Linked DNA regions of Canis lupus familiaris. The protein of the gene in region 2 purifies or fractionates together with the protein of the main gene of each other region. This does not show direct contact. Links are inferred from orthologs where the notes say so. Each region holds a gene or a part of one and is shown on either strand. Other genes may lie near its edges.

Evidence for each region.
Region 1: the proteins of VBP1 (region 2) and PFDN6 purify together in Homo sapiens (affinity purification with mass spectrometry; 6 studies listed by BioGRID and IntAct, counting the BioPlex papers as one, with this or other methods). This does not show direct contact. The link is inferred for Canis lupus familiaris from reciprocal best matches to the Homo sapiens genes VBP1 and PFDN6.
Region 3: the proteins of VBP1 (region 2) and PFDN2 fractionate together in Homo sapiens (co-fractionation; 8 studies listed by BioGRID and IntAct, counting the BioPlex papers as one, with this or other methods). This does not show direct contact. The link is inferred for Canis lupus familiaris from reciprocal best matches to the Homo sapiens genes VBP1 and PFDN2.

The regions. Positions count from the first base shown.
Region 1 is NC_049233.1:2,881,749-2,887,146, reverse strand, and holds PFDN6 (prefoldin subunit 6), read right to left. Parts: upstream 2,745-5,398; 5' UTR 2,703-2,744; intron 2,558-2,702; 5' UTR 2,474-2,557; coding exon 2,410-2,473; intron 2,160-2,409; coding exon 2,089-2,159; intron 2,010-2,088; coding exon 1,885-2,009; intron 1,679-1,884; coding exon 1,549-1,678; 3' UTR 1,448-1,548; downstream 1-1,447. Other genes in the region: RGL2 (ral guanine nucleotide dissociation stimulator-like 2), read left to right, coding at 1-200; WDR46 (WD repeat-containing protein 46), read left to right, coding at 3,145-3,213, 3,315-3,527, 3,636-3,716, 3,861-3,973, 4,098-4,185, 4,313-4,374, 4,633-4,737, 4,825-4,975 and 1 more. UniProt on the Homo sapiens protein: Binds specifically to cytosolic chaperonin (c-CPN) and transfers target proteins to it. Binds to nascent polypeptide chain and promotes folding in an environment in which there are many competing pathways for nonnative proteins.
Region 2 is NC_049260.1:124,325,238-124,330,869, reverse strand, and holds part of VBP1 (prefoldin subunit 3), read right to left. Parts: intron 2,379-5,632; coding exon 2,254-2,378; intron 1-2,253. UniProt on the Homo sapiens protein: Binds specifically to cytosolic chaperonin (c-CPN) and transfers target proteins to it. Binds to nascent polypeptide chain and promotes folding in an environment in which there are many competing pathways for nonnative proteins.
Region 3 is NC_049259.1:22,182,445-22,188,830, reverse strand, and holds the start of PFDN2 (prefoldin subunit 2), read right to left. Parts: upstream 4,272-6,386; 5' UTR 4,205-4,271; coding exon 4,130-4,204; intron 1-4,129. Other genes in the region: NIT1 (deaminated glutathione amidase), read left to right, coding at 4,352-4,353, 4,947-5,045, 5,291-5,545, 5,671-5,774, 5,985-6,118, 6,286-6,386. UniProt on the Homo sapiens protein: Binds specifically to cytosolic chaperonin (c-CPN) and transfers target proteins to it. Binds to nascent polypeptide chain and promotes folding in an environment in which there are many competing pathways for nonnative proteins.

The DNA.
Region 1 (5,398 bases), on a different chromosome or scaffold from region 2:
CACCCTCGGCTAATGTTTTCTATGCTATGGATGGAGCATCACACGATTTCCTCCTACGGCAGCGGCGAAGGCCCTCTACTGCTACACTGGGTCTCACCAGCAGCCCCTCAGCCTCAGGAACTCCCCCAAGTGAGGGAGGAGGGGGTTCTTTTCCCAGGATCAAGGCCACAGGGAGGAAGATTGCCCGGGCACTGTTTTGAGGAAGAAACCCTGCGAGCTCAATAGAACTCATGGTGGCCACACCAATGTGGGTTGCCATCCTGAGTGGTGGCAGTCATGTTGCACCGGGAAGAAATCCAGAAAGGTGGCCAACCACCCTGGGGCAGTGAAGTGCTACTGGTTTAACCAGAAGGCTGAGAGATTCAGCTTTGTGAGAACTGGTTATCTTGGTAACCAAGTTGGGATACCTGTGTATAGCTCCCTACTTTCCATGAATGCAGCACATGGCCAGTACTGGAAAAAGGGATCAGTTCCCGGTTCCTGGCCACATCCTAGCATTCTAAGGCCAAGGAGAGGCCTACAAGGAGGAGGGAGAGGAAAAGCCTAGAGGCTCTGAGCCCTGGGGAGAGGGGATGGCAAGAAGTAGGATCTAGTAGGAGTTTATTTTCCTACTCTGGGTGTTCCTGTCACTGTGACAACACTAAGATAATAAATCAAAACACTACCTACATTCTACTCCCCTGTCCTTGAATTGTGTATGGTTTAGCTTCTGGGAGTGGCGGTGGGGAGATGGCCAAAGGTAGACACCAAAGAACAAGGGGCCCAATGTTTTCTGTCCCCATTGCTGAAAATGAAGCGTTGGCGAAAACAGTTTCCTCACAACAGTTTCCTTCTCCCCAGTAACCTCTCTGCTGGCTCCCTCTATTTGCTATTTTTCTTCTCAGTTGTCACAGACCCATAGCAAGTACCAGTCACCAATTAAAGTGAGCAGATTAAAGAACAATCCGTGGTTGGACATTTGTAAGAAACAATTTTAGGACAAAGAAATGGAAGAATGACTTTGTGGATAACGTATAAACTTGAGGGCCTTACAACATCACAAAGTGTTCCATGCTGGGATTTTAAATCAGCCTAAACTTCATTCAAACAAATTCTAGAATGAGACTAAGATGCTGGGGCTTTCTGGAGGATGACAAGAAAGCATAGCAAGAGGGTCACCACATTTCACCCTGGGGTCTCAGTTTAGATTACCGTGAGCTCTGTAGTTAAACTGGCCTTCCCAATGATCATTGCGTGGTAAATGCTCTTCTCATGTTTCCTAAGGGGCATGCCAACCAAGGCAAGCGTAGTGTATATAGGCAAGTAGGTGTGAGACGTTTCAGATTTTAGTCTCAGTGAAAAAAGGAGGATTACTCTGTGGCAATTCCAGTCACGAGAATTGGGACCGAACAGAGTAATGCAGGTGGCATATATATAAAGTTGAAGGGGCCCAAGGAAGAGACCATCATGACAGGAAGTGGCTGGTCAGAAAACAGCCAGGGGTTTTCACATTTTATTAGCTACAGCATAGACCCTTGAGCTGCCTCATTCCCTCCCCCCCCCATGGGGTCAGGCCTTCCCAGAAGCCCCTGCCTTGGCTGCCTGGGCCCTCTGGAACTCCTGCTGCAGCTGAGCCAGGGTCTCCCTCTGTTGCTCTGACTGCCGCTCAAGGTCCCGGAGCTGGGATTCGTATCGCTTACTGAAGAGAGGCAAGAGAGACAAGCAAATGAGAAATTGATGGGATTTACTCTTGAGGGTGCTGAAGGGTTGGACTCTCCTGGACTCCCCGTGGAGGGTTTGAGGAAGCAGATCAGACAGGGCTACCCTGGAACTACTCCAACGGCTCCTCGACATTCTACGCTGGGGGCGTCCGGTGCCTTGCAGGGTGTCAGAACAAAGACTCACATTTCAGCTGTGATATAGTCCAGCCTCTTCCCCACTGTGGCACGAGCCTCTCCCAGCTCCTGTTTGACCAGCACAGGACCCAGAAGTTTAAAGACCACGTTGGATCCATCTAGCAGGGCCAGCTCCTGATGGAGGGATGGGACATACAAGATCAGAATCACTTCCAGGTCAGGTCCCTTCTGGCCCGGCATATCCCTCTCTCACCTCCTTCACGATATTATTTTCTGTTAGCTGCGCCTCAAGCTTCTGTCTCCCCGACATGGATTTACTCAAGTCTGGGGGTTAGGAAGAAAGGGTTGATTAAACACATCACATGTGCCGCCTAACCCCAATCCTGGTGAGAAGAAAACGGAGCTGAGGAAGTAGACAAGGAGGCGGCAACAGGTCAGTGGGTGGGGACGAGCTCCGAGATGGGGAAGGAGCTGCACGCGGGGCCTCTAGTGGGGCACAACATATTATCTTGGTTTGGCTTTGGGCTGTAAGTGAAGGGTCTGGGGCGAGGCCGCGCCGACGCTGCTCCCTTACCCTTCTGTAGCTGCTGATATTTCTCCACTTCTCCCTGTAGCTTCTTCTGGATTAGCTCAGCCATGGCGGGGACGAAGGCCCGCGGGGAGTGGGAGCGGGCGCTGGGTCTCACTCTGGGAGGTACCTAAACTCCCCTTTCTGGCCCGGCCTGCGGAAAGGACAGCACTCTTGCGAGGCAGCCTCCCAGGGCACCACAGCCTCTCCTCGTCCCAGAGAGCCCTCCACGCAGGCCCCAGGAGGTGGCGGGCGCAGCAAGACCCCAAGCCCCTCAACCGTAACCCAGCCATACTCACGTTCTCGCTTCACTATTACTAAACCTGGAAGTAAACAAAGAATGCTGGGAAAAGAAGGCGCCGGAAGCTGTCTTCTGACGCATGCCGGGAACTGTAGTTTTGGCACGTTTAGTGAACGGTGTTCCCCCAGAAAACTGGACCCGGGAGGTTTTAGGCAAGACAGGGAAACGGAGCTGGAAAAAAAAACTGCACCGTTACTTTGTCCCCAGCCCCAGACTACCTTTCTTTCATTACTCGGGCATAAGCGGCTGCTCGGGATTGCGGAGCCAAGACCTGCCCCGCCCCTCGAGAGAGAGTGGGCCCTCATTCAAGATGGCGCTCAGACGGCTTCAGACCTGGTAGGCACTGATTGGACGAGGGCCGGCGGGCTTCCGGGAGTTTCCGAGCCGTCTGTGGACAGCTGAGAGAAGTTTGCACGTGGGTCGTCGTTCCGGTGGGCTAGATGGAAACAGCCTCCAAACCCGGCAGAGATGTCCAGCCCAAGAAGGCCAGACTTCAGACCAAGAAGAAGGTAGAGACCTCGCTAGGGTGGAAGGGAAATTTTTAGCTGCGGGGTCCCGGGGGTGGGGGGGCGAGGGCTATGGAGTGTTAGAGCTTGTGATCTGCCCGTAGAAACCGCGGAGGTACTGGGAGAAGGAAGCCACTCTGACCGCTGCCGGAGCCTCTCCAGGGCCCCCTCGTAACAAGAAAAGGAATCGAGAGCTCCGCCCCCAGAGGCCAAAGAACATTAACCTCCCAAAAAAGTCTCGGATCCCCGGGAAGCCTCAGTTCCCGAAGAAACCTCGAGAACAGAGAAATCTTGAGCCTCAGAGAAATTTGTCCGGGGTGAGCCTGGGACCTGATAAGGTGGTGGGGCAAGTTGCCTTGTACTTTGCAGGTGCGATGGTTGGGGTCAACCCTAACCTGTCTGCTAATTGCTTCCTCCTTCCCCAGGCCCAGGATCCATTTCCAGGCCCTGCTCCCATCCCTGAGGAAGTGGCTCGCAAGTTCCGTCGCATTGACAAATCCAAAAAGGTGAGGACCAGCTGGGAGTGAGGAGGGATTGCAGCTTGGGAGAGCATATGAGTGAGTTGGATGAAGAGGAACTGTGTGACTCTCCTGGCACCCCACATAACACCTGGTTCTTTTTTCATTACTCTCCTGCCAACGCTGGTATAGCTGCCACATTCGAAGTCGAAAACACGAAGCCGACTAGAGGTGGCTGAAGCTGAGGAAGAGGAAATAAGTATTAAAGCTGCTCGTTCTGAACTGCTTCTTGCTGAGGAACCTGGGTAAGTGGATCCTAATGTGGACCTCCCCAGGCCCTGCTTGATGGGGCTTCTCGTTCTCATTTTTACGTTGGTACACCCACCGTGTATTTGTAAGTTTTACTGCAACCCTAGTGCTCACCCTTAGGTTTCTGGAAGGGGAGGATGGGGAGGACACAGCAAAGATACGCCAGGCTGAGATTGTGGAGGCTGTGGATATTGCAAGTGCAGCCAAGGTGAGTCTGAGGTTGGAAAAGGGGCCACTGGTGGCACAGATAGAAGTGGGAACTAGAGGTGGAAATTACCAAGAGGAGCCCATTCTTCCTTGATTTTTTTTTTTTTTTTCATTTTTCCCTCTCTCAGCATTTTGATTTAAACTTGAGGCAGTTTGGACCCTACAGACTGAATTACTCCCCAGTTGGGAGGTAAGATTGGATATCAGTGACTCTTGAACTAGGATGTGGTTCATCTCCTTAACCATTTCAGCCACACTCACCTCAGCCATATGGTATATGTTTAGGCTGATGAAGTGGGGATGGTTCTGTGATTTGTTTGCATATGAGGGTGAGCATGTAAAGCATCTCCTTATCCGGAGAGGCGGGGCCGGTGGGGGGGAAGACCTCATGGTCTGAGTCAGGGTGCTTCCCTGTGTTGACATGCTGCCTGTCCCCCACCTCCAACAGACACCTGGCTTTTGGAGGGCACCGGGGTCATGTGGCCACCCTTGACTGGGTAACAAAGAGGCTCATGTGTGAGATCAACGTCATGGAGGCAGTGCGGGACATCCGGTCAGTGGGGGTGGGGCATCTCCTTCCTGACTGAATGACAGTCCCTTGACCCTCTTTCCCTCTTAACCACTCTTCTCCTCCTTCCAGGTTTTTGCATTCAGAGGCACTGTTTGCTGTCGCTCAGAATCGCTGGCTTCACATCTATGACAACCAGGGCATCGAGCTCCACTGTATCCGCCGCTGTGACCGAGTCACACGGCTGGAGTTCTTGCCTTTCCATTTCCTTCTGGCCACGGCTGTGAGTGCCTCTGGAGTGAAGAGACTGGGTGGCAGCCCTTGAGAAAACTGTTTCTTCTCTGGGATCTCAGTAGAAGGATGGAGGGCAATCAGGACTCATTCTTTCTCTCTCTCTCAGTCAGAGACAGGGTTTCTGACCTACCTGGATGTGTCAGTGGGAAAGATCGTGGCAGCTCTGAATGCTCGGGCTGGGCGGCTGGACGTCATGACTAAGAACCCTTACAATGCTGTCATCCATCTCGGACACAGCAATGGTTGGTCTCTAGCTGAGCTTTGACTCTTTGACCATCCTGACCTGCTTTGCTTCCTTGTTTGTACTTTGCACGTTCCTTCAAGTAGCCCCTATTCCTCCCTCTCGTTACCTCTTGGTCTTGAGACCCTGTCTTTCCCAGAGGTAATCACCTCAGTGCCTGTTAGTGACTTT
Region 2 (5,632 bases):
TAATCTAGTTGTTTTCTGGCCAGAATGGCAGCTCCACAAGGACTGACATATCCTAAGTACTTAAGATGATGGCAAGCACATATCAGGTACACAATAAATATTAATCCTATTGAATTGTGTGTTTACTATCTAGACTCCACTAGACTGCAACCTTTCCAAGGGCAGGGACTGTCTGTTTTGTTCACTGATATACCTCAAGTGCACTCATTAGGAAGGCTGTAGGTACAAACTGTGAGGGTTTTTATCCCTCACATTCAGGCCTAGAGCCTATATAAACTTGGATGAGCACCCTACTATATACCCCAGGACTAGAGGTATAATTATGATACACAAATTTCCTCCTCTCTCCCAGGGCTTGGTCCTGAGGCACATATTTTTCTCTATCTATAATCTTCCTGTGGGTGATCTGAAAACTTGACTTTATTCTTTTTAAAATGAAAATAAGCTTTTCTGGACAGCCCGGGTGGCTCAGCAGTTTAGTGCCGCCTTCAGCCCAGGGTGTGATCCTGGAGACCCGAGATCGAGTCCCACATCAGGCTTCCTGCATGGAGCCTGCTTCTCCCTCTGCCTATCTGACTCTCTCTCTCTCTGGGTCTCTCATGAATAAATAAATAAAATCTTTAAAAAAAAGCTTTTCTTATAAAAGTAGTAGGTAAATATTGTAGAAACCTAATAATACAGATAACCAGATTTTTAAAAATACCATATTCCCACCACCCAAAGATTACCACTGTTGATACACCATCAGTATACCTTCTTCCAGATATTTTTGTACAGATATACTTTTTCCAAAATGAAAACATATCATTCATAGTCTTTTCTATCATGCTCTTTTCTGTTTAACACTCTATGTCAATGACTTTTCATCTAGTACCCAGGCCTTAGTCAAATTTCCCTGTTACCAAATCAAATGAGAAAACATATCTAAATACAAACATTTGTACTTTTACATGAATGGCACATTATGCCCAGATGCTCCTTCCTTGCTTTAGTCTGCCTCCGAACTCATAACCAGCCTTCAAAATTCTACACAGCCCAGAAGCTTCCCCCGAACGTCACTCTCACCCTCAAGATCACACCTTTCCCTGTGCTAACTCATTACTTTGTACTAAAGTATCTCAACTGCTATACTTTATGTGCTTATCTTATTGACATATCTAGCATGCCTAGACGGGCGTCCCTCTTGAGAGCAGACACTGAACTTTATTTCACCCAAAACAGTATCTGGCACCTAATTAGAATTCCAGAAATATTTAACTGACAGAAGAATGCTGGGAAATGTGCATAGCAGATATTCACAAGTATTTATTGTAGTGAACTGACTTTGTAAGCTACTATAAAAATACAGAGAAATAAACAACTGAGAACAAGGATCCATTTGTCCTATGCCTATTATTTGTGAAATCTAGGGAGAGCCAGAACCTCTATGGGTCTCTGATCTTAGTGGCAAAATAAGGATAAACTAGAAATCTAAGATGTTATGACCCTACATGTTTTGGAATAAGGTCTTCGATATTCATTCTATTACATTTTCAAAACCATCTTTAGACTAATAATACCAAGCATTGGCAAGCATGCGGACCAATGGAACAAATGGAACTCCATACACTGCTGGTGGGAATGAAATATGGTACAGCCACCTTGGAGGACTTTTGGTAGTTCCTCATAACACTGAACGTTATACTTGCCATACAAGTCAGCAATTCTACCTCGAGGTAATTACCCAGGAGAAATGAAAACACATACCCACACAAAGACTTCAAACCAAATGGGGAAACAACCCAAATGTCCACTGACAGGCAAACAGATAAAAATAGATTAAAATTGTGGACATACACATACAATGGAGCAAGGTTCAGCACTAAAAAGAAACTAATTTACTGATTGATATACACAAAACCATGGAGGACTCTCAAAAGCATCATACTAAGTGTAAGAAGCCTGATATAAAACAGTAGTTACTATGTGCTTTCACTTACATGAAACTCAAGAACAGATAAATCTATAGTAAAGATAATCAGAACAGTGGTTGTCTCTGGGAGTGGGCAGTGTTGGCCAAAAAGGGGCAGTAGGGAACTTCCTACAGTAATAGGAGTGTTCTACATATTAATCGGGACAATGGTTATAGAAGTGAATATATCTAAAAATTCATCAAATTGGACATTTTATTAAATGTAAAATATGTCTTGATTTTTAAAGCTTAAGCCATACAAGATTAACAACAAAAAACAACTCATAAATTTTTACACTTACCTCCTTTTCTTTTGAGCAAGGTTGAGTTCCATAAACTTGTACTTCTGGTACTGTTCATCCAGCTTCTTCAGCACTGTATCTGCAGTCTCATTCCCAGGCTGTTTCATGAAGGAATCTACATCTTCCTTTAAGATCAAAAAATAACACATGCAAGTTAGACTTTTTTAAAAAAAAGATTTTTTTTTTTTAGAGAAAGAGAGAGAACGTGCAAGTGTAGGGAGAGGGAGACAGAGAATCTCAAGCAGTCTACACTGAGCATGGGGCCCAACACAAGGCTCAATTTCACAACCCCAAGACCATGACCTGAGCCAAAATCAAGAGTCAGATGCTTAACTGACTAAGCTGCCCAGGTGCTCCCAAATTTTCAAATTCATACCTCTAATGTGATTTTTGACTGTTTCACCTTTATCTTTAAAACATTAAAGAAAAAAAAAACCTTGTGTTTGTTTCCAAAGGCTTGTTTTTAACTATAATGTAGTTATAAAAACTTCAAGATCATTTCAAACAACGCACATACATTATGTAGCTAATTTATTCTTCCTCCACCTTTCTCTTTTTATATAAAAATATATATATGGAAAGAAAGATGACTTTACTTGCTTTATACACCCCCCAGGTTGCCCCGGTAGTAAATATGAAAATTACCAACAATCAAACACATTGCCTAGTCATGTAGCCTAGCCACAAAACGACTCAACAGATGTATGCCAAAATCATCAACTAAAATTTTGAACTCAAGTTCTGCCATAGAAATCAGGCTGAATATGGTATTAGGTTCCCAAGGCAAGCCACAAATACCTCAAGTATCAACTATTGGAAATAAAGTAAACCTAAAAAGCAAACAAAACAATCTTTTGTAAAAAGAATAATTAGGCAAAAAAAAAGTAGTTAAACTGAGTAGCATTTTTAAAAATGTATACTACATGCTGGTCCTTGAAGAAAAGCTAATCAGATAAGGATCAGGAACTAGATGAAAATATATGGAAACTTTAAGGGAATCCCATTGGACCTTTCCAGCATTTTAAAGAACTTTATTCCTTCATTTTAAGTTAAATTCAAGTACCCACAGTTTCTGAGATCTCTGTATCATTATTCTTATCCATATTTACCAGCTATAAGGGACTATTTTAGCCTAAACAAGACAAGAAGCAAGGAGAAACAACAGTGAAGGAGTGTGAACTATGAAGCCGTCAAGCTAGAGACACAGTAAAAGAAACAAAAGGTGAGGCTGGGCGCAGTGGCTGAAGTCTGCATGTAAAATCAAGATATCATCTTCCTAGAAGGGTCACTGCAGGAAAGAGATGTAAGTCAAAGTTTCTAGCCCAGGGTAAATGTTGCTAGGAGGTTAGAGTCTAGCCAGGAGAATTACCTATAGCAGCACAGGATTGTGGCCACGAAACAGGGCCTGCCTGGTTTGAACCCTGGCTTCACCACATACTAGATGTGTTCACTCTGGAGAAGTTATTGAACCTGTCTCTTTGCCTCCAGTTTCTCACCACCCAGGTGGGCCGATAAACATAAAATCTAAAAAACATTAAAACATAACGAGGCGGACACCTGGGTGGCTCAGCGTGGAGCCTGCTTCTCCCTCTGCCTGTGTCTCTGCCTCTCTTTCTCTTTGTCTCTCATGAATAAAAAAATTAAATCTTAAAAAAAAAACCATAACTAGGGGGAGGCCTGGGTGGCACAGGTGGTTGTGCATCTGACTCTTGGTTTTGGCTCAGGTCATGAGATCAAGTCCTGCATCGGGCTCCATTCTCAGCAGAGTCCAAGGCAGACTCTCTCTCCCTCTCCTTCTGCCCCTCCTACTCGTGCTCTTTTTCAAATAAATAAATAAATCTTAAAAAAGAATAATTGAGAAAAAGAAAGAAACCCAGAAGCTCATTCTTTGAAAAGACTATCACCACCACTAAAATAAATCCTTTGCAAACCTGTTTGTGGATAAAAGATCAATAACAAAGATATAGGAATTTAAGAAAAAGAAAGTGCACATAACTACTTATCATGTGGCAATGGAATTGAAAAAATAAAAATAAAGTGATAACCTGCACAGATATAAAATTATTAAAGCTGACTTCAAAATAGTTGAAGCTTGATTTGACTCATTTTCATAAAAGAGCCTGAAGACATGATTAAAAATATTGCAAATGTCACTTGAAGCAAATGGACTGATAAATGAATCTTATATCTAACTTTTAAACAATAAGTGATTCTAATGTTATTTGAGCTATAAAAGAAAAAGATGGAGCATTCACCTATTCATTTGAAAAAACCACTAAAATTGTATTTATTTATTTTTAAATATCTTTTTTTTATTCATGAGAGATACTGAGAGAGAGGCAGAGACACAGGCAGAGGGAGCAGCAGGCTCCCTGCGGGGAGCCCGATGTGGGACTCGATCCCAGGACCCCGGGATCACGCCCTTGGCCAGAGGCAGATGCTCCACCACTGAGCCCCCCACGTGCCCCAATCACTACAATTTTAATACCGAAATCCAATCATAGTAAAAAATAAAGCCACAGATCAATCTCACATAGTAAAGGCACAGAGGACTGGTCTACCATGGCGGGTGGTAGGAAGGCATGCACACAGTGCTTCAAGAAATATCAGCACATAGAATGCAGCAATAATCAAATCATAGGAACATTAGATCGTACTACAAGGGTGTAAGGGCACTATTCAACTGCAAGAAATCTGTCAATCATCATATTAAATCATCCATCTGTCAATCAACATATTAAAAGAATAAAATTTAGATCATAAAAGATGCTGAAGTAATCTGTAATAAAAAGTTTTACGGCAGGGCGCCTGGGTGGCTCAGTCAGTTAAGTAGCTAACTCTGGATTTCTGTTCGGGTCATCTCAGGTCATGGGATAGAGCCCCAAGTCAGGCTCCCCGCTCCACAGGGGGTCCCCACGGTTGTCTCTCTCACTCTCTCTGCCCCTCCGGCTCACACACACACACACACACACACACACACTCTCTCTCTCTCTCTCTCTAAAATAAATACATCTGTTTAAAAAGTTTTATGGCTAATTCGAATAGAAGTAACAAAGGCAAAAACAAACAAACAGCAAACATTCTGAATAACAAAATATTAAGATTTCAGGTAAATCACAGAGTAGAGAGGAATGCTCGCTTTCATGACTAATATTTAACATTTTCTTGCATTTTCTAATAAATTCAATAAGCTAAAGAACAATAGGCTGTTAACAGCGGAAAAGAGCTATATTCTGTCTCATTTTAGGTAAAATTCAATACTCATATAGACTCTACTGTAAAATAACTAGAATTACTAGAATTTTTTATAATATTTTACTTATTTACTCATGAGAGACACAGAGAGAGAGGCAGAGACACAGGCAGAGGGAGAAGCAGG
Region 3 (6,386 bases), on a different chromosome or scaffold from region 2:
ATTTCCACTTAACTGTCCTATAGATACCTAAAACTCAGGTCATTTGAAGCTGAACTGATCTTTTATCCCGTTTTAAACTGTTCCTTTTCTTGTCGTCTCCCCTATTTCTGCTAAGGACACCACTCTAACTCCTGAGGTAGGAAACCCTCGTTTCATCTCTGAACACACCCTTATCCCAACAACTGCCAAACTTATCACACCATTTCTGCAATTTTTCTTAGGCTCGCTGACATCACCTAGTCCAAGACTTCGTTACATCTGGAAGAGTCTTCTAAATTATCTCCCTATTTTTGGACTCTCCAAATTCATCCTATACACTACTGGTAATTTAATTTTCCTAACACTTGGATGACATATAAAAATGTTCATGACATATTAGGCGTAAAATGTAGATTACAAAATGGTATATACCGCATAAAACTAATATTATAAAGTATGTAAATATGTAATGAAGATATGTCCTCCCTTTCCAGCTATACACACACACAAAACATAGGTTGGGGGGGGGGAACCCTCCTTTGGAGTATATCAAAGGATATATTCCAAAGTGGTAATAGCCTGGGTGGCTCAGTGGTTGAGGGCCTGCTTTTGGCTCAGGGCGTGACTCCCCAAAACCTGGGATCAAGTCCCACATCAGGCTCCTTATAGGGAGCCTGCTTCTCCCTCTGCCTGTGTCTCTGCCTCTCTGTGTGTGTGTCTCATGAATAAAATCCTTAACAACAAAAATAAAGCGGCAATAATAGTTATCTTTGGATACTAGGATCACGAGTAATTTATTTGTTATTTTGTACTTTTTCCTGTGTTTTCTACATTTCCACAATGAACATGTCTTATTTTATGTAACAGAAAAATAACAAGAGCATGCCATATATTTTTCTGTGGCTTCCTCACTGCTTACATTAAAAAGTTCCAAATTCTTTGCCATGCAAAGACTCAACTTGCTTTTAAGCACCACATCTTTCTTATACTTCATGATTTAGCTAAACTGACCAGTCACTGCACTTCCTGTCAGACTGTGCTTTCCCTAGCTCTCTTCTTATCCTATTCCCTATATTCTATTTGCATTACCACCTGTTCAAATCTATCCAATCCTTCAGGCTCATCTCAAATATCCCTAATATGATCGTGGTATAAATGGAAAAATATGTCTGATTCTCAAATCACTCACTCAATTAAAAGCCCTGCTCTTCCAGTTACTAACCTTGGATAAGCTAACTGAAGTCTCTGAAACTCAAATATCCTTACCTATAAAGGGAGGACAATATAATCTACTCCAAAGAGCAGTAATTAAATAACAGAAAATAAAACAAGTGCCTAGTACAATGTGTTGCTTCCTTCCATCTTGTTTATAAGGGACATATATAGCTCACATTTGCAGATATGATAAATCACATGTATTTTTTAAAAATTTAGGGGACACCTGGGTGGCTCAGCAGTTGAGTGCCTCCCTTCTGCCCAGGGTGTCATCCCAGGGTCCTGGGATTGAGTCCCACATCAGTCTCCCTGCATGGAGCCTGCTTCTCCCTCTGCCTGTGTCTCTGCCTCTCTCTCTCTCTCTCTCTCTCTGTGTCTCTCATGAATAAGTAAATAAAAAAATTTAAAAAACATTTTAAGTAAGCTCTAGGCCCAACATGAGGCTTGAACTCACAACCCAAAGATCAAAAATCACATGCTCTATGTACTGAGCCAGCCAGGTGCCCCAATAAATCTTACATTTTTTATCCAGTGTTCTCTCTGAAACACAAAGGCCATAGAATGTTAAGCAAGAACAGCCTCAGAACTCAATTATCACAACTGCTCGCTTTCTTTGGAGGGCTTCTTCTCTTTCTCCATAACCCCTTAAATATTGGTTCCATCCTTGTTCTGCTGCTTCTTTTTTCAACTTTCTGCACAAACCCTAGATGATTTTGCCCATTACCATGACTTTTTTTTTTTTTTTTAAGATTTTATTTATTTATTCATAGACATAGAGAGAGAGAGGCAGAGACACAGGCAGAGGGAGAAGCAGGCTCCATGCAGGGAGCCCGATGTGGGACTCGATCCCGGGTCTCCAGGATCACACCCCAGGCTGCAGGCAGCGCCAAACTGCTGCGCCACCGGGGCTACCCCCATTACCATGACTTTATCAGCCTTCCATAAGCTTATAGTTCTCTGACTCAAATGTAATTCAAAATTTATAAATCAAACCAACTATTAAATACCTCTACTTGAATGTCCTACAAGAAATCCAAACTCAAAACCCCAAGAGAAACATATTCCCCACCCCCCTAGGCATTTCCTATCTTCCTACATTGCCTATGAACAAGCATCCATCAAAGACATAAATCTGAGAAACATTCTAGTTTCCTCTCTATCCCGTTTTCTTCACATTGAAGTCTTGCAGTCCACCCCATACTTTAAGCCCACCTGCATCCCCAACAGGCCAGAAAGGTTCATGCCTCACTGCTTTTAAGGACATTAGTCTCTGCCTAGGAAATTCTCCACTTCCTTCTTTTTTTTTTTTTTTTTTAAGATTTTATTTATTTATTCACGAGAGAGACAGAGAGAGGCAGAGACACAGGCAGAGGGAGAAGCAGGCTCCATGCAGGGAGCCCGACGTGGGACTCAATCCCGGGTCTCCAGGATCACACCCTGGGCTGGAGGCAAATGCCAAACCGCTGAGCCATCCAGGGGTCCCTCCGCTTCTTTCTTTGCTTGACTAACTTCTCTCATCCTTTAGAACTGAAGGATTATCTCTCCCAGAAAAACAAACACTATACTCATTACTGTGCAAAACACTTTGCATGCATTTCTTGTCTAATAATAATCAAAACAGTGATGAAGTATGAACTGCCAAATTTTTACAAGGTGAGAGAGGGAACTCATGGGAGGTCATCTACACATAATAAATAGCAGAACCGTGATTCTAAAACAGATCCGCCAACCCTAGGGCACTTCTTATGCTCTTAGCCACCCCTCAGAAAGTATTAGGTTCCTTCTCCTTTTCCTCCCACCACAACACACGGGTCGGGGGGCAGAAACTATCGTTCCCCCCCCCCAAAGTCCTGCAGCACTGGGCAGCCCGGGGGGGCTCAGCTGTTTAGCCCCTGCCTTCAGCCCAGGGCCTGATCCTGGAGACCCGGGATGGAGTCCTGCGTTGGGCTCCCTGCATGGAGCCTGCTTCTCCCTCTGCCTGTGTCTGTATGAATAAATAAATAAAATATTTTTTAAAAATCCCACAGCACTTTATACCTGTTAGGACACTCATCTTCGGCCTTATGTTAGCACTTAGTAGGTCTTATTTCACTGTGAGCTCTTTGATGGCGTGGGCCAACTTGAAAAATCTTTATGGAGACACCTTTGCCTGCGGTGACTATTCGACAAATAACTGACAAGCGAGCGAGCCTGCAGCGAGAAGAGCTGTTGTCTTAGGTTTTCCCTTCTGTCGCGGGGATTTCTTGCCACCCAGACTACACACTAGCCCCGCCATTAGCAAACCAGGGCTCCCCGCGCGCCACAAAAGGCTCTCCGGGTTGTTTATCACACGTCTCCCGCTGCTGAGACACTGGGGGAGATGCAAACTCGGGTTACAACACGGTTTCTGGTCGCTCAGGAAATCCAATCTAATAACGACGTGCGGGTCAAAATAGTATGGGACGGCGGACTGCTGGGGCATGCGAGTCACGTGGCTCTGCAGAGTGAGGGCGACGGTCAGCGTGGTGCCGGGGTCACCGAACAGGCCACACGGCCAGCCCGCCGGCTCATCCCCGGGGATTCGTGCCGAGCCGCCGGGCCCGGCCTATCCTGCGGGAGGGTGCGGGGAGGTAGGCAGAGCCACGCCCGCCCCCCGCCCCTCCCCCTCCCTCTCCTCCCTTCCCTCCTCTCCCCTCCCTCCCCTCCCCTCCCCTCCCGCCGGGCTCGGGCCCCGGGCCGGCTCACCCTGCACCCCGGGGGGGGCGTGGCCTTCACCGACCAACCCTCCCGCGCTCTCCCCCGGACCCGGCCAGCTTCTCCGAGGACCCTCCCCTCTCGGGGCGGCCCCGCCACGCCGGGACGCGCGCGGGGCCTGCCCCAGCCAGCGGCGCCGCCCGCTCCTCGCACCGACTCGGGCCCGGCCCGGCTGCCCTCCTTCGCGCCCTCCGCTCCTCACCTGCTCTGCCGACACCGCCCCTTTCCCCGCGCCGCCGCCGCTGCTCTTGCCGGCGCGACCGCTGCTCTCCGCCATCTTCGCCGCCCGCTGCGCTTCCGGCCTGCGCGGCCCCGCCCCCGTGCGTCACATCCGGCCTGGAGGTTGCCGCCCCCTGGCCCCGGGGCCGCCGCTTCCAGGCCGCTCCTCCGGTCGGACGCTGCCGACGGTTTCGGCTCTATCCTCATGTAGGACCCAGCGGTGCACTCCGCTGCGGGGCTTTAACCCGTGCAAGGGAGCCGCTGCGCCTGGGAGAGGCGGAGAGGCCGGGTTGACCGGAGCGTGGGGGCGCGGGCTGGGATGTGTGTGGGTGCCGGTGCCCTTTGCCCCCCACGGGGTGGGAGGGGCGAGGGACGGTGAGCTTCCCCTCGGAGATCGGGGTAAGGGGGCATCCGCTGAGCAGTGCCGCCGTGCAGGTGCCCAGTGAAGGGGAGAGGCTGGGGAGAGCAGGGAGGTTTCTTGGGGATGCCTTTTGAACCGCGGGTATGTTCCCCCGGGCGGGCAGGTGGGGGCGGGGGCGGGGTGGGGGTGGGGGGGCTTCAATCTAATACGAGCCCACTGGAGCCGAGACAGGTGCCGAGCAAAGCCCCTTCCTCTGTCTTCCCACTTTATGAGTCTTCCTGTAGCCCATAATTACTCCCAGTAAGACTTGGTGGGGAGGGGGGGTGTTTCTCTGCGAGGGCCCTGCTTCAGCCTCCCAGTATGAAGAGAGGAGTCAGAGAATCCTGGAAATGTGCTGCTTGAGCGCGGGAGTGGTGTCCTGATTTCTCACCTTCCTCAGGCTGGGCTTCATCATCAGGCCTCCTCACCAGCTCCTGCCCCTTCTCTTGTGTCCTGGACTCCGGATACCTCGACTCTCAGTACTTTGTGCACAGCCCAGGTAACATGTTTTGCTCTGTCCTTGGCGCCTGACACTTAATAGATGTTCAGTAAATGTCTGTGATGTGCATAGATGGTGGGATACACTGGGGTGCCAACCATCACAGAACATTTCATCAGTGGGGAGCCCTGAAAAGCAGAAACCAAAGGGCAGCGCAGCCCTCCTGCTCCCCCACTTAAGACTCTGATTGTTAAATTTGCATTTCCCCATTCTGGAAGTCTGAGCCCTGCCCGTGCCATTCACAGTCCCAGAGCCATGGCTATCTCCTCTTCTTCCTGGGAACTGCCGCTGGTGGCTGTGTGCCAGGTAACATCAACACCAGACAAGCAGGAGAACTTTAAAACATGCGCCGAGCTTGTTCGAGAGGCTGCCAGACTGGGTGCTTGCCTGGCTTTCCTGCCTGAGGCATTTGACTTCATTGCAAGGGACCCTGCAGAGACACTACGCCTGTCTGAGCCACTGGGTGGGAACCTTTTGGGAGAATATACCCAGCTTGCCAGGTATCAGGGAAAGGGGGAGGGAAAGGTAGCTTCCTTGTTGGGCAGTGTCCCCGAATTGCCAGATAGGAGGGTCAAACATTGAGAAGCATTGTCAGTGTTGCCCCTTCTACCCTGCCTTCCTCCAGGGAATGTGGACTCTGGCTGTCCTTGGGTGGTTTCCATGAGCGAGGCCAAGACTGGGAGCAGACTCAGAAAATCTACAATTGCCATGTGCTTCTAAACAACGAGGGTGAGACCTGATAGCTCTTTAGCCACATCTTCCCAGGCTCTTCTACCTAAACTTGCATTCTCCAGAATTCTCAACTTGGTTTCCTTGGTTGAGTTTTAGGGGTATTTGTACTTCTGAGCCTAGGTTATAAATAGTCTTGGTGGGAGGAGAGGAACTAAGTTGGGCTCCTAGCGCACCAGCACTGAGCATTCCTTCTCCCTCTTACTACAGGGTCAGTAGTGGCCACTTACAGGAAGACCCATCTGTGTGACGTGGAGATTCCTGGGCAGGGGCCTATGCGTGAGAGCAACTCTACCATTCCTGGGCCCAGTCTTGAGTCTCCTGTCAGCACACCAGCAGGCAAGGTGGGAGTTGTGAAAGGATGAGGTGGGGAAGAGGAACAGGAGGGAGAAGAGAAATACTTTGAAGTGATAGTAGAGGATGGAAAGAAAGTCCTAAGGAAACGTAGGCAGTGGGTATGACTGAATGCTGTGAACAACAGGACAGGGCTATTAGGCTGTTTTCATTCCAGATTGGTCTAGCTATCTGCTATGATATGCGGTTTCCTGAACTCTCTCTGGCATTGGCTCAGGCTGGAGCAGAAATACTCACCTACCCTTCAGCTTTTGGATC